3 linked regions of the Arabidopsis thaliana genome follow. The protein of the gene in region 3 binds, or shares a complex with, the protein of the main gene of each other region. Each region holds a gene or a part of one and is shown on either strand. Other genes may lie near its edges. A codon is read from its position in the direction of its gene.

The links.
Region 1: the proteins of PAD4 (region 3) and ADR1 are in contact, whole or in part, in a cryo-EM structure (PDB 8ZW9), measured with the Arabidopsis thaliana proteins. Residues at the interface, in NP_190811.1 of Arabidopsis thaliana: Glu316, Trp319, Tyr320, Arg323, Arg339, Tyr340, Ser341, Leu342, Lys343, Arg344, Phe346, Lys347, Val348, Met350, Ile353, Arg354, Lys357, Asn403; in NP_174620.2 of Arabidopsis thaliana: Met562, Arg586, Phe609, His637, Asp639, Asn660, Pro662, Arg663, Ala684, Pro686, Glu687, Gln708, Val710, Val782, Trp784, Leu785, Asp786, Asp787.
Region 2: the proteins of PAD4 (region 3) and EDS1 are in contact, whole or in part, in a cryo-EM structure (PDB 8ZWA), measured with the Arabidopsis thaliana proteins. Residues at the interface, in NP_190811.1 of Arabidopsis thaliana: Arg5 (codon at 1,271), Phe6 (codon at 1,268), Thr8 (codon at 1,262), Glu10 (codon at 1,256), Leu11 (codon at 1,253), Gln12 (codon at 1,250), Ser14 (codon at 1,244), Val15 (codon at 1,241), Met16 (codon at 1,238), Ser18 (codon at 1,232), Thr19 (codon at 1,229), Pro20 (codon at 1,226), Leu21 (codon at 1,223), Leu111, Val112, Arg141, Val142, Phe143, His168, Asn169, Thr193, Ser240, His241, Phe243, Leu244, Lys245, Ser246, Arg247, Ser248, Phe249; in NP_190392.1 of Arabidopsis thaliana: Arg196 (codon at 529), Met233 (codon at 418), Arg234 (codon at 415), Ser237 (codon at 406), Thr238 (codon at 403), Asn241 (codon at 394), Gln242 (codon at 391), Val244 (codon at 385), Cys245 (codon at 382), Gly249 (codon at 370), Ser250 (codon at 367), Ala251 (codon at 364), Glu252 (codon at 361), Ala253 (codon at 358), Phe254 (codon at 355), Leu255 (codon at 352), Glu256 (codon at 349), Thr257 (codon at 346), Leu258 (codon at 343), Ser260 (codon at 337), Phe261 (codon at 334), Leu262 (codon at 331), Phe295 (codon at 232), Gln299 (codon at 220), Ala300 (codon at 217), Ser301 (codon at 214), Ser351, Thr352, Arg353, Arg355.

What each region holds. Positions count from the first base shown.
Region 1 is NC_003070.9:12,166,846-12,170,599, reverse strand, and holds the start of ADR1 (Disease resistance protein (CC-NBS-LRR class) family), read right to left. Parts: upstream 1,833-3,754; 5' UTR 1,509-1,832; coding exon 869-1,508; intron 800-868; coding exon 465-799; intron 378-464; coding exon 22-377; intron 1-21.
Region 2 is NC_003074.8:17,756,503-17,760,256, forward strand, and holds the start of EDS1 (alpha/beta-Hydrolases superfamily protein), read right to left. Parts: upstream 1,646-3,754; 5' UTR 1,191-1,645; coding exon 873-1,190; intron 797-872; coding exon 65-796; intron 1-64. Other genes in the region: RR5 (response regulator 5), read right to left, coding at 2,610-2,784, 3,535-3,605, 3,733-3,754. UniProt on the Arabidopsis thaliana protein: Positive regulator of basal resistance and of effector-triggered immunity specifically mediated by TIR-NB-LRR (TNL) resistance proteins.
Region 3 is NC_003074.8:19,429,095-19,432,848, reverse strand, and holds the start of PAD4 (alpha/beta-Hydrolases superfamily protein), read right to left. Parts: upstream 1,755-3,754; 5' UTR 1,284-1,754; coding exon 993-1,283; intron 1-992. Other genes in the region: OEP7 (outer envelope membrane protein 7), read right to left, coding at 2,880-3,074.

The sequences.
Region 1 (3,754 bases), on a different chromosome or scaffold from region 3:
AAGTCATAAAAGAGCGAATACCTCGGATTGTTCACTATAGTAAGGAGATTCTTGTCAGCTAAACGAAGAACAAAGGAAAACGCAGTTTCCTCGTCAATATCATGCCTCTCAACCCACACGCTCGTGAGAAGATCAAGAGGGATCTTCTTGTCTTCAGGGAAAGCACCCATATCCAAGAAACAGTCTCGGATTTTCGGGTCGAGGTTTTCTAGACTTTCTTCCATATGAGCAAACACTCTGCTCTCATGAGTTTCATCAGCAGCTTCTCCTCTTAATAACCTCTTCACTACGCCTTCCCAATATCTTTCAGGTTTGTTTTTTAACGAAGCACCAAGAACTTTCAAAGATAAAGGTAAACCTTTACACTCATCAACAACCTACCAAACAGAGTAACAATTTTAGTATTTGGAAGCAAAGTGTGTTTTTAGTTACAGATTCAAATATTTATAAAAAGGCATTAGTACCTGCTTCACCAAATATTTGTTGAATGGAGAAGGCGGGGACTTTTGTTCGAAAGCACAGAGACACAAAAGAGACATTGCTTCATCTTTCTTTAATAATTCCACATTGTAGGTGGTTCTAGGATCTGCAAGCTTGGACCGTGACACTACTAAAGTAGTGCTTCCACGAATTTTAGACATCAGCCTGTCCAAGGACTCCCTTGTCCAAACATCATCAAGAATCACTAGCTTCCGTTGATGAACTCCATCATAAAGAAATTCTCGTATACAAGACTCCAAATTCTCAAAATTCGGAGACCGTGACACAGTCAAAAACAAAACCTTATTCTTAAAGAGTCCTGCACAAAAATCTTGATTAGAACTCATGACCATCAACACAAAACAAAATTCAATAAAACTTCACAAACCTCGAACATCATCGTCCTTTGAAAGCTCTATTGCAAGAGTGGTTTTCCCTGAACCGCTCATTCCAGAGATCCCAAACAAATGTGTATCCGTAAACTTAAACATCATCTCCTTCACCTTTTTCTTCCCCAATTCCAATACCGTCTGAATCTCCGGATCGCTTACCGTCTCAATCTCCATCATAGTCTCCGGAAACGACAAAGAATCATTCCGCTCAGTCAACAGTCTATCCATATTCCTCTCAATCCTGTCACCATTGACCCGTAGATGACATACCTCAGCAAGAACAAAGAGCAAAATCTGGCTGTTGAGGAAACGAGATATTTGTTTCTCGAGATCCTTCATCTTATTCGCGTGGTACACATGTTTAAGGTTCCACCTATTGCATCTTAAAACCTTTTCACATAGCTTTCTTGCTTTCTCCAAGATCTCATAGAATACTCCCAGTTGAGTTTGGTGATGGTTACTCAGCTCCGCGCCACTGTATTGGATCTCCCTGATCGTTGGTTGAACGTCTCTGATCATCGTGATCAGTCGTTCGGCGATTCCTTTGCAACTGTAGACTGTGTTAGCTACTAGAGCGAGCAGCTTTAAGAGTTGCGTCGTGATGTCGCCGGCGAAAAGATCTATGAACGAAGCCATCGAGACCGATCTTGGAGTGTAAGACAGAAAAAAGAAAGTGAGATGGTTGAGTGGTAATAAGGGTTGATACGTTTTTAGATTAGAAAATAGCGAAGAAGACGAAGTTTCTTAGCAACTTCCAATAACATACGTTTTGTCGTTTAGTGTTTTAAAGTTTTGTTTCTGCGGTAACACATGTAATAGCTTTGTAATAGATTTCAGAGAATGTATGGATCTTATGGTTACGTATCAGTTTTTCACTTATTATCAAACAGATCGATTTAGTAGTTTTTTTTCGAATTCGATTATCTAGACAAACTCTAAATTACGATATTCCCTAATACGGCCATACGGGTTCAATCACTTTGGGAGTGTAATTGTTTAAAGTTAGCTAAATCCTATTTGGATTAATACCTCTAATCTTGTTTTTTTTGGTCGCTATCTCTATCTAATTTAACTAATTGGGAAAGAAAAACGATCCCATATGCAACCTTGTTTATAATTTTTTTTTCTTGTGATTATTTGGTGTTGATATGTGTATAAACTATATAGGGATTAGGGACTCGAACTTTTTCAATGTTTATTTTGTAGCTTTTTTTTTTTTTTTCCTTTTGACGTCGATTTGTAGATCTAATCATCAAAGATCACTTTACTCTTTTTACGCGTTTTGATTAATATTTTATATATTTCTTCAAATTACTTAATGGTATATATACACTAGTGTTGGTCCAGCTCCAATGGGGTTACAAGAACCGTATTCGCAGATGGGAAGCCGCATGTGTACTATACGGTGGCTGGAGAAGGCATGATGGTTCAACAGCCATTGCCTCAGCCTCAACCGCAGTACCAGGGAATAGTCAACCGGTTAGTACCATGTGTTGTGGAAAAAAAAAGGTGTTACCGTGTTAGGTAAGAATTGAGAAAACATTGGATGTTAAAAGACTTGCTTCCACACTAACTAATCCACATGACACATACTTGTCATATCATTGAGGGTGTGAGTCGTGTGACTAGTTGACTTTAATAGAAGAAAACAAAAAGAAAGGGAAAAAATTACATGTATTAGTCCAACAAAAGAAATTGGAAGAAAATTGTTTCTTCGAAAAATATCAAAAAGTAACTAAATCACATGAATTCTTCCATCTTCAAAGCAAATAAAAATTATTTTTCTTCCTGATGTGATTATTCTATTTTTCCATTTATTCTATATGTTTAACCAGTCACAGCCTTTTAATTAAATTTTACTTAGCGACAATCATTATATTGTCATTATCATTTTGATCATCTCAAGTCTTTGTCCTTATTATTTGTTGCCAAATTAATATGTCTCAATCCAGAAACATGGGTCCATGTAAAAGCTATCATGTCTTTGTCATTAGGATTCAAATTGATATCCATCTTCCCCTTAATTGTTCCCAAATTTGTCTTATCAATTTTATTTCTTGTCTTTACCTCATCAATGGATATGATGTCAGCCAGATTGGTTCTAATTCGGATTTTTTCCTCCAAGTTCCGCATTTAACTGAGTTGGTTAGAAATAAGCACACTTTCCCAGTGTTTGCATAAATAGTGTTTATAAAGACATACCAAAAACCTAATTAAAAAGAAAACAATTCCACTCGGATAGACTAAACCAATTAAAAACCATAAAAAAAACTAACTAATAAAAAAAAAACCAAAAGCACTCGGTTCTTATATTCAGATTATTCTAGTAACTCGTTAATCCATCAAAGTTTATGAAAACGCTATTAAACACATACAATAGCGTTTATCTTGAGTTAAAATGTCTATTTTTTCTTGTAGTACGCGACTTAACGATTTCGTGAAGTCAACATAAGTTAGCGATTAAATTGATAAGTCAATAAAAGTTGGGTATATATTTCATCGAAGAAAGTTGAGGTTTGTATTCAACGAAATTTGAAGGTTGACGCATTAAATGCTTAGTTTTAATTTGGTCTAACCTTAAATGGTTAACCTAATTTGTAACACCCGACCTGTCATATAGATTAAGATGACATGTTTTTCATTTGATTTTACCAAAACGTTTTCTTTAAACGTCAAACACGAACAAAATATTACACATAACTTCCTCACTCTTACTAATCTGAAGAAAAAATGAATAAGGGGGTGAGTAAAGAATACTCGGTGAGAGGAATACGCTCTGCCCACTGAAACATAGAACATTTTCTAAAGGTATACAACCATCATCATAACATATAAACTTAGATACAAGCAACCAACCTAACATGCTTTAACTTCTAACAACA
Region 2 (3,754 bases), 1.7 Mb from region 3:
AATGATTGCAAGAATGGAGCTATGGAGCTGCACAGTATGAAAAGAGAGAGAGAGAGAGACTTACCACTCCAAGGTCATTGAGCGTAGACTCTATTGAGTTTTCTCCATCCAAATGATTAAACAACTTCTTTCCCATCGACTGTACCAGTTCCTCATAGCTATGATGATCTCTGATACTTCGAAATGGAATTAGAGACCATTCTTGTTCATCGCTGGCTTGAGAAGTGTAAAACAGCATTTGAAGAATGGCGTCCGAGTTGTTCACTGCAACCAATCTCTTCTCTGTAGAGAAAACAAAAGTACCGGCGGGTCTATAAGGACTTAGCTCAAGGAAACTAGAAAGGGTCTCTAAAAACGCCTCTGCGCTTCCAGTCAATTCACAAACAGCTTGGTTTGCAACAGTTGATGTGTCTCGCATCACCCTTGTGTAAAACTCTGTTATTCTCTGTTCACTCTCTTGGACGGAAGACTTTCTGGGATCCAATTGGGCAAGAACATGAGGCAAAGTTTCCTCTACAGACGCCTTTCGAGCAAGCATAATCCGAGGGACAATATCGAATCTTGAGACAAAGTTCACAAAGAACCGGCTCCATTTTTCTCTCCCAAGTGCGTGACTGAAGATAGAGTCACCAACCAAAGGAGCTCCAAATGTCACACAACGAGGCTCAAGGTAAACATTTGGATTGCGTATGAAGTATTTCTCCAAATACCAAACTGTTGCTAAGATTGCAGTTGCACCTCCTGAGGAATGTCCTGTGAACACTATCTGTTTTCTACTCCTCACAGCCATTTCCACCTGAAGAAGTAAAAGCATAAGAGACCAAAAAAGAAAAAAAAAGAAAAATATATTCGGATGTTTTCAATCTTCTTACAGAAGCTTGAAATGAGGTTCTTGGATCAATGATAGCTTCAAGATTCTTGAGGAAAGCTTCGTTAACAGTAGCTACATCACCTTTACCGATTTTCCTCATACAAGGAAACTGAACACGGTTCAACTTGATTTCTCCAAAGGAAGATTTATTGTCCGGATCGAAGAAATCTTTCTCTGAGAAAGATGGTTGGAAAGCGAAGATTACGACTGCTCCTGCTTCTTCCTTGTGATAGCGCTCGGTTAGGTAAGCTTGCTTCGAGGCTGACCATGATCTGGTGATTAGATCACCATTGATTCCGGTAAGAGCTTCAAACGCCATTGATCTATATCTATTCTCTTTTCTTTAGTGGACTTTCTTCTCTCTTTTTTCTTTTGAATCGTCTTGCTTCTTTAATCCGCTCCTACTCTGTTAATTTATGGGAAGATGTAGACAGGACTAATTAGTTACCCAAAATACCCCATCATGAGACCATTTCAATGCAAAAATGGGTTTTTTTTTTTGGAGTTGACTCTTTGGCTATTGGAGACTCATGAAGAAAGAAAAGCTAGGAATCTTAGCTTTCCACGTGTCGGTTTTACATTGGTGTATGGCTTTGTACATCCGACATGACTGGAGTTTCGCAGAAACTTTCATAAACATTCACATTTGGTCGGAAAGTTTTCTCTGTGTAATCTTTGCTTGGAAATTTTGTAGCTTGACTTTGGAGTCTTCGTCTCTTTAATATAGACTCCATCTTTTGGTTTGAGATGTCACTCTCGGTTGGGATTTCGCAGTAACTCAATGATATTCACTTTTTTGTCGGAAAACAATTTTGTTGTTTAATGAATGAGGAGATTTGTTCGCTTGGAGTTAAGTTTTTGTAGCTTGACTTGGGTTTTCAGATTTGGTCTCGTATAGAAGAAATCTACTACTTTAACTCTGTTTTGCTTATAAATCTTATCCGGAAAGTAAACCGGATAATCTACAAGATATGGAACCGGTTCGATTTCTCTCAGCTGAATATTAACCGAATTAACTAACTACACCTTCTTGCCTGGTCCGTTTTTGCGTTCGGCAAGACGCGTCACATTCGACTTTTACTTGTTTGATTATGAAGTTACATGAACCGGACTAGAAAAATTTAGTTTGTTTTTTTGGCTAAACCAAATTGCATAACCATATTTTGCTTTCAGATAGAATGAAAAAGCCTAGGAGACTAAATTAACAAAAGAAACAAAAAAAAGTCTAGGAGACTAGAATTTTCTTGGTCTTAATAAAACCCAACTTGGGGAAATTTCTACGAAAAGCCATGTAAAGTGTTCCAACCAACGCTTAAAATAACTAACTTATCTCGCTGGATTCGATTCATGTAGACAGCTTTATTTTAATTAGACAAAAGATTAGCTTGTCTTCGTGTAATGAACGGTACTAAACTACTAATCCATTCCTAAATCATTATTTAAGTAATCTTAACAAAAGAAATTCATATGTTAACTTCCAAAATAACACACCACCATTTTACATATCTCTCATGTAAAGAAAAAAAAAATGTATCTCTTCTCCTCTCTAATGAATCCAAGTCTACAATTTACATTTCTATCTTATAAAAACCCATCTTTGTCACTCTTGATCAGTCTTGGTTCTATCAGCAAAAGAAGCCGTAATGTCTCAAAAATTGTAAGCCGAAAGAATCAGGACATGCATGTGTGTGAATCTTTGAGCTTTTAAAGAACATATCGTACGTGGAATCTGATAAACTCAGATCTTTGCGCGTTTTAGCTGCGAGTAGATATCATTAGCTTCAAGCTCTCTCTTGTGCATAATATTCTTAAAAGCTCTTTCCTCAGCTTTCATTAAAGAATCTCTTAATCTCTTCACATCAGCTAATTTCACAGGCTTCAATAAGAAATCTTCAGCTCCTTCTTCAAGACATCTGAATAAATATAAGGAACCAAATGTTAGTGATCTAATTCCATAAAGTTTATAACTTTGGATACAGAAAATGGCCAGCTCATATATGATAATCATTAAACTTAATCTGGTAAAGAGGGTTTGGTTCCTTAGTAATAAGCAAAGGCATGTGAGGTGTCTATCACGAGGATTGGGATTTTATAAATGACCCTACCTAAGATTATGCAACCCAAACAATTAAAACATATATTATAAAGTTTTGGAGGGCCTAACATGTCACCGGCTTATATAGAATCAAATCTCAAGAGAAGATCTTGCTTAACTTATGATGGATTATTCTTTTCTAAATTTATGGCCACAAGATAAATTTTATTATTCCTAAGATCCATTTTAAAAATCATTTTAGGACCCACTAAAATAAACACCAAATCTCAGCTTGATCAAATATACAACCACCACCAAAGTTAACCCCATGATAGTTAAAAAGTAATCATATAATAACCTTTTCTATCATAACAAAATCTTGTGATTATACAACAATTTAATTTAGTCAATACATATCCTTTAACGGTAACTTTATCACAAATCCTAAATTAGTGTGATTACTTTAAAAAGTTTCCTAAACAAACAATACCCTCTAAATCTAATCATCCCCATCTCCTGAAGTAATAAATGCACAAAATCTACTATATTTGGTAAATTTTGGTCCTACATAATCTTGACCTAAACAAGAATTAAGGATCATAGTTAAGATTATTATAGTAGAATATACCTATCGATACGAGGCAAGATGTTCTCTGAAGACATAATCACAACTGGTATTTCTCTGAAAGCTGATGATTCCTGTTAAAAAGTTCAAAATCCATAAACAAGATTAGATCAAAACTTCATTTTTTTTTAAATTTTTTTTCGTCAAATCAGAACTTCATTTTAATTTTGTGAAAACAATTGAATCATCAACAAAACTTACTTTGATCTTCTTCAGTAGTTCA
Region 3 (3,754 bases):
TGATTTAGAGACTAAATTTGCCAATTACTTGGTTTAACCAAATTTGAATAAAAATCAGTTAAGACACCTCTCTAGACTTACCATTTTTACAACTTATATCTACATTAATGGTCACTTCTTGTTTTTTCTACTCATCAAAACCAATAGGAACTTGTTTTTGTTCAAGATTTTCATATCCTTAGAGACAAAACAAAAACTAAAAGTATTCGACGAAAAAGGGAATAAAATACATGATGGTGACACAATAATCATGGGTTAAAAACTTTTTGAGCGCACATTTATAAACTTCGCCGAGGTGTGTTAAAGCATAAAGCGTAAAGCTACCAATTCCATTAACATTTTTTGTTTTTTTTGGTGTCAAAAATACCAATGACGTTTCACTCACTAATTAGTAAATTTTTTAAATCACTTGGGCGGACGGACGTGATGGCATACAAACCAAACTTTCAATTGACTTGCTTATGATATCCAAAGGTCGCGACAATGACATATTCCAAATGGTGGATTTGGAATAATTGTGTCCACGAATCTTTTTAGAATTTCTTACAAGAAAATAATTTTTATTTATTATCTATTGTCTATTGCCTATTGGGGTAGGTGGTGGTGATAGTTTATAATAATCTTTTAAAAGGACAAAAAAAACCTCCATTTGGATTATAATTCATCAAAATTCAGAGGACAGAGATATTTAAATAAAAAATAGTAATGATCATCAGTTCTACTAAAAAGTACTAAAATACGTAAAAAAAATAGTAACTTTAATAGGTAAAATTCGTTTTCGCAAATCCAAACGAATAAAACTTATGATAGAATTTTGTTTTTTTTTAAAATCCTTTGTGAAATAATTTCCCATATTAGCATTTAATGATTTTTGTATTTTTCTCTCGAGGTATTATTAATTGAAATTCAAATATCCACATGCCTTGAAGATAATAAATAGGTTAAATTGCATCCAATAGAAAGAAAAAAAAACAGAGGAAGAGAAAACAAACCTTTAACTGAAGAAAGAGTTTGAGTATGGCAGCGTCGACCATAGGTAGAGGTTCATCGGAGGATAAGCCGGGGAAAAGAACATCTCCGGTGACTGGCAAGCCCACAAGATTCCCCAACTGAATCATCGATACCGCCGGTATAGCAACGTATGTAATCCCGGCGATGTCATGGATCTTTATACTCCCGTTGCAATTTGCGGTGTTGCATGAACTCCAAGAATCGGTAAATAAAGGAGTCGATATCATTACCGAAGCTTGCAACTCACTCGTCTCGAATCGACAATCGTCCATGATTGGATATCGAGTAGAGAGTTGCAGAACGATGATGTTTATGAAGTTGTAAATATATTACAAGCAAAAAGAAATTATCTATGTATCTTCTTGGCTTGTTCCTATGTAATTTCTTGGTTTTGGTCTTTGCTAAGTCGTCTTCTTCAAAGTCTCTTACTTTAACATCATAATTTAGTAAAATTGTACTGGTTTTATAAAATAATAATAAAGAAATGCTGTGAAAGGTAGGTCCATTCTCATTTTTTAATCATTGTGTGTAGAGGACAAAAAAATATGTAAATATATAGTAGAAGAAAATGCGAATCAAAGCATGTGATCCTATGTAATCGGAATGGTTTAGACTTGAGCATAAATTGACAACTTTTGATATGCAGAAACTTTGGTAAGAGTTTATCTATCTATCTTTCATGGAAATTGCAGAGAAATCAACCTACATTTGACTCAGACATTTTGAAGTTTTTTTGGCTAAGCTTTTAAAAGGAACCAATTACTTTCAGTTTCAGCTTAACATGATATAGTTATACAATTTGGCCCATATAAGTCCTACAAGTTAGACCCACCATGACTTGAGGAGATTTTTAAGTTGTGGTCTACCTCTACTAGAGAGATATAGATACTTGTTAATGAATTTGATAATTTACTGTTTGGAAAGGTTTATATCTAATTTAACAAAAAAACAAAGCATTGAAAGGTCCATGCCATTGTCATCTTTTAATCTCTGTTTGGGATCTTTGTGGAAAAACCTAGAGTACAAAATGGGGCAAATTATCAAAACAAAACAAAAAAGGTTTGAAGAAGAAATATCTGATGATTAGGACTTAAGCATGTATTAGAAAACTCTTGCCTTAACAAACTGATAATGATAAAAGAGATAATCTGAATCCTAAATGTCAATGAAACTATCCAACCGGACAATAATCATTGCAAAGCTACCATCTATAGTAATTTTCATGTAATTTTCTGGTTTTGATATTTTCCTGAATTGGAGTAAATATTCAAATTAAACAATGAACTTCTATAACCAAGTCTCTCCATTAGAGACTAGTAGTACATTTTCTTGGTGTTTTCTCATATGATGAAGTCAGTCGTCGTCCAAAGTTTTCTCAACTAAATGATGTTAAACAATCAATCTGACACATCTTTGTATCACCACATGTTATCGTCTCCCTATACTTATTTAGCTAATCTGCTTTATCTATAAAGCAATCTTGTAATTGTCAAGTTTGATATTTTGCTCTAACATGCTTCTTTTCAAGAGATACGTATAATCGAATCATAACTTAAAACAATTTAAGTACTTATCGGATTCCTAATCTCTTCTTCCACCTTAATAATACAGCTCGAAACTTTATACAAAATACGAAAAACGGTGTAACAAATCATGTATGAATATTGATTAGATTAATGATTCTGTTATGCGATTGAACTACAATAACAGATTCAATATAGCAGACTTTTCCAAAAATTGATGACAAATAAACGATCATGACTCAAAAGAAATTGCTCAAACTGTTATGATTAAGAACACATGGATTCATCAGTTACATGAAATGGATTGAAATCAGTAAATCTCTTTAATCTGATAAAACCCTAATTTTACAAACCCTCTTTGGATGTGGTTGCAGTAGCGGCGGTGTCGAAGTCATCGGGGTCTTTGGTTGGGTCAGATTTGTCGATTGAGGAGCGGAATTTATCGAGGAAAGGCTTGAAAGCGATCTCTATGGCTAACCATCCTAACGCCATCGCTGCGACCACCACAGTCGCCTGTTTCGCTCCCGAAGTTTTTCCCATCGCTGCGTCGTCGTCTTGTTCGCGTGTCGGTGGTATCAACCGATGGTTTAAGATCGGGAGATGGGTTTTACTAGGATGTTTAAAATGGGCCGGTTTGGGCTTCTCATTGGATAAAGATAGTTTGTTTGTTAAACTATGGCCCAACTTTTTATCCGTCTATTGGTTAATTAATACAAACTTTTTATATAATTGTAAATATAATTGAAAGGATCCCTATTTTATTTTCTTGGGAATATATATATGGAAAAAAACAATCAATAGAATTAGATAAATAGTTCAATATATCAACAATTTCTTTTTTGTTAGGATAAGGAACTTTTACCTTTTTTCTAATATAGTTACAAATTGTGTTTTTTTTTTTCTTAATTTATTATCAAATTTCTTTTTTACTTATATATAACCTCCTTTTTCATATAGAGTTATTAACTTTTTCATTTTCTCAGTAAATGTATTAACAAATTTAGACTTAATACATGAAGACATCTAATATTTTTATTGATATGTGTCGTGAACTCGTGACATGTTAGTTAGTAATTTTTATAAAAAAAATTTAGATAGGTTAAAATTATTTGATATGTGTAGGGGTGTCAATGGGTCAAAATTTATTGGTCAACTCAACTCAACCCATAAACCCTAATGAGTTGAAAATTTTGACTCAAATGAGTTGATGGGTCAAATGA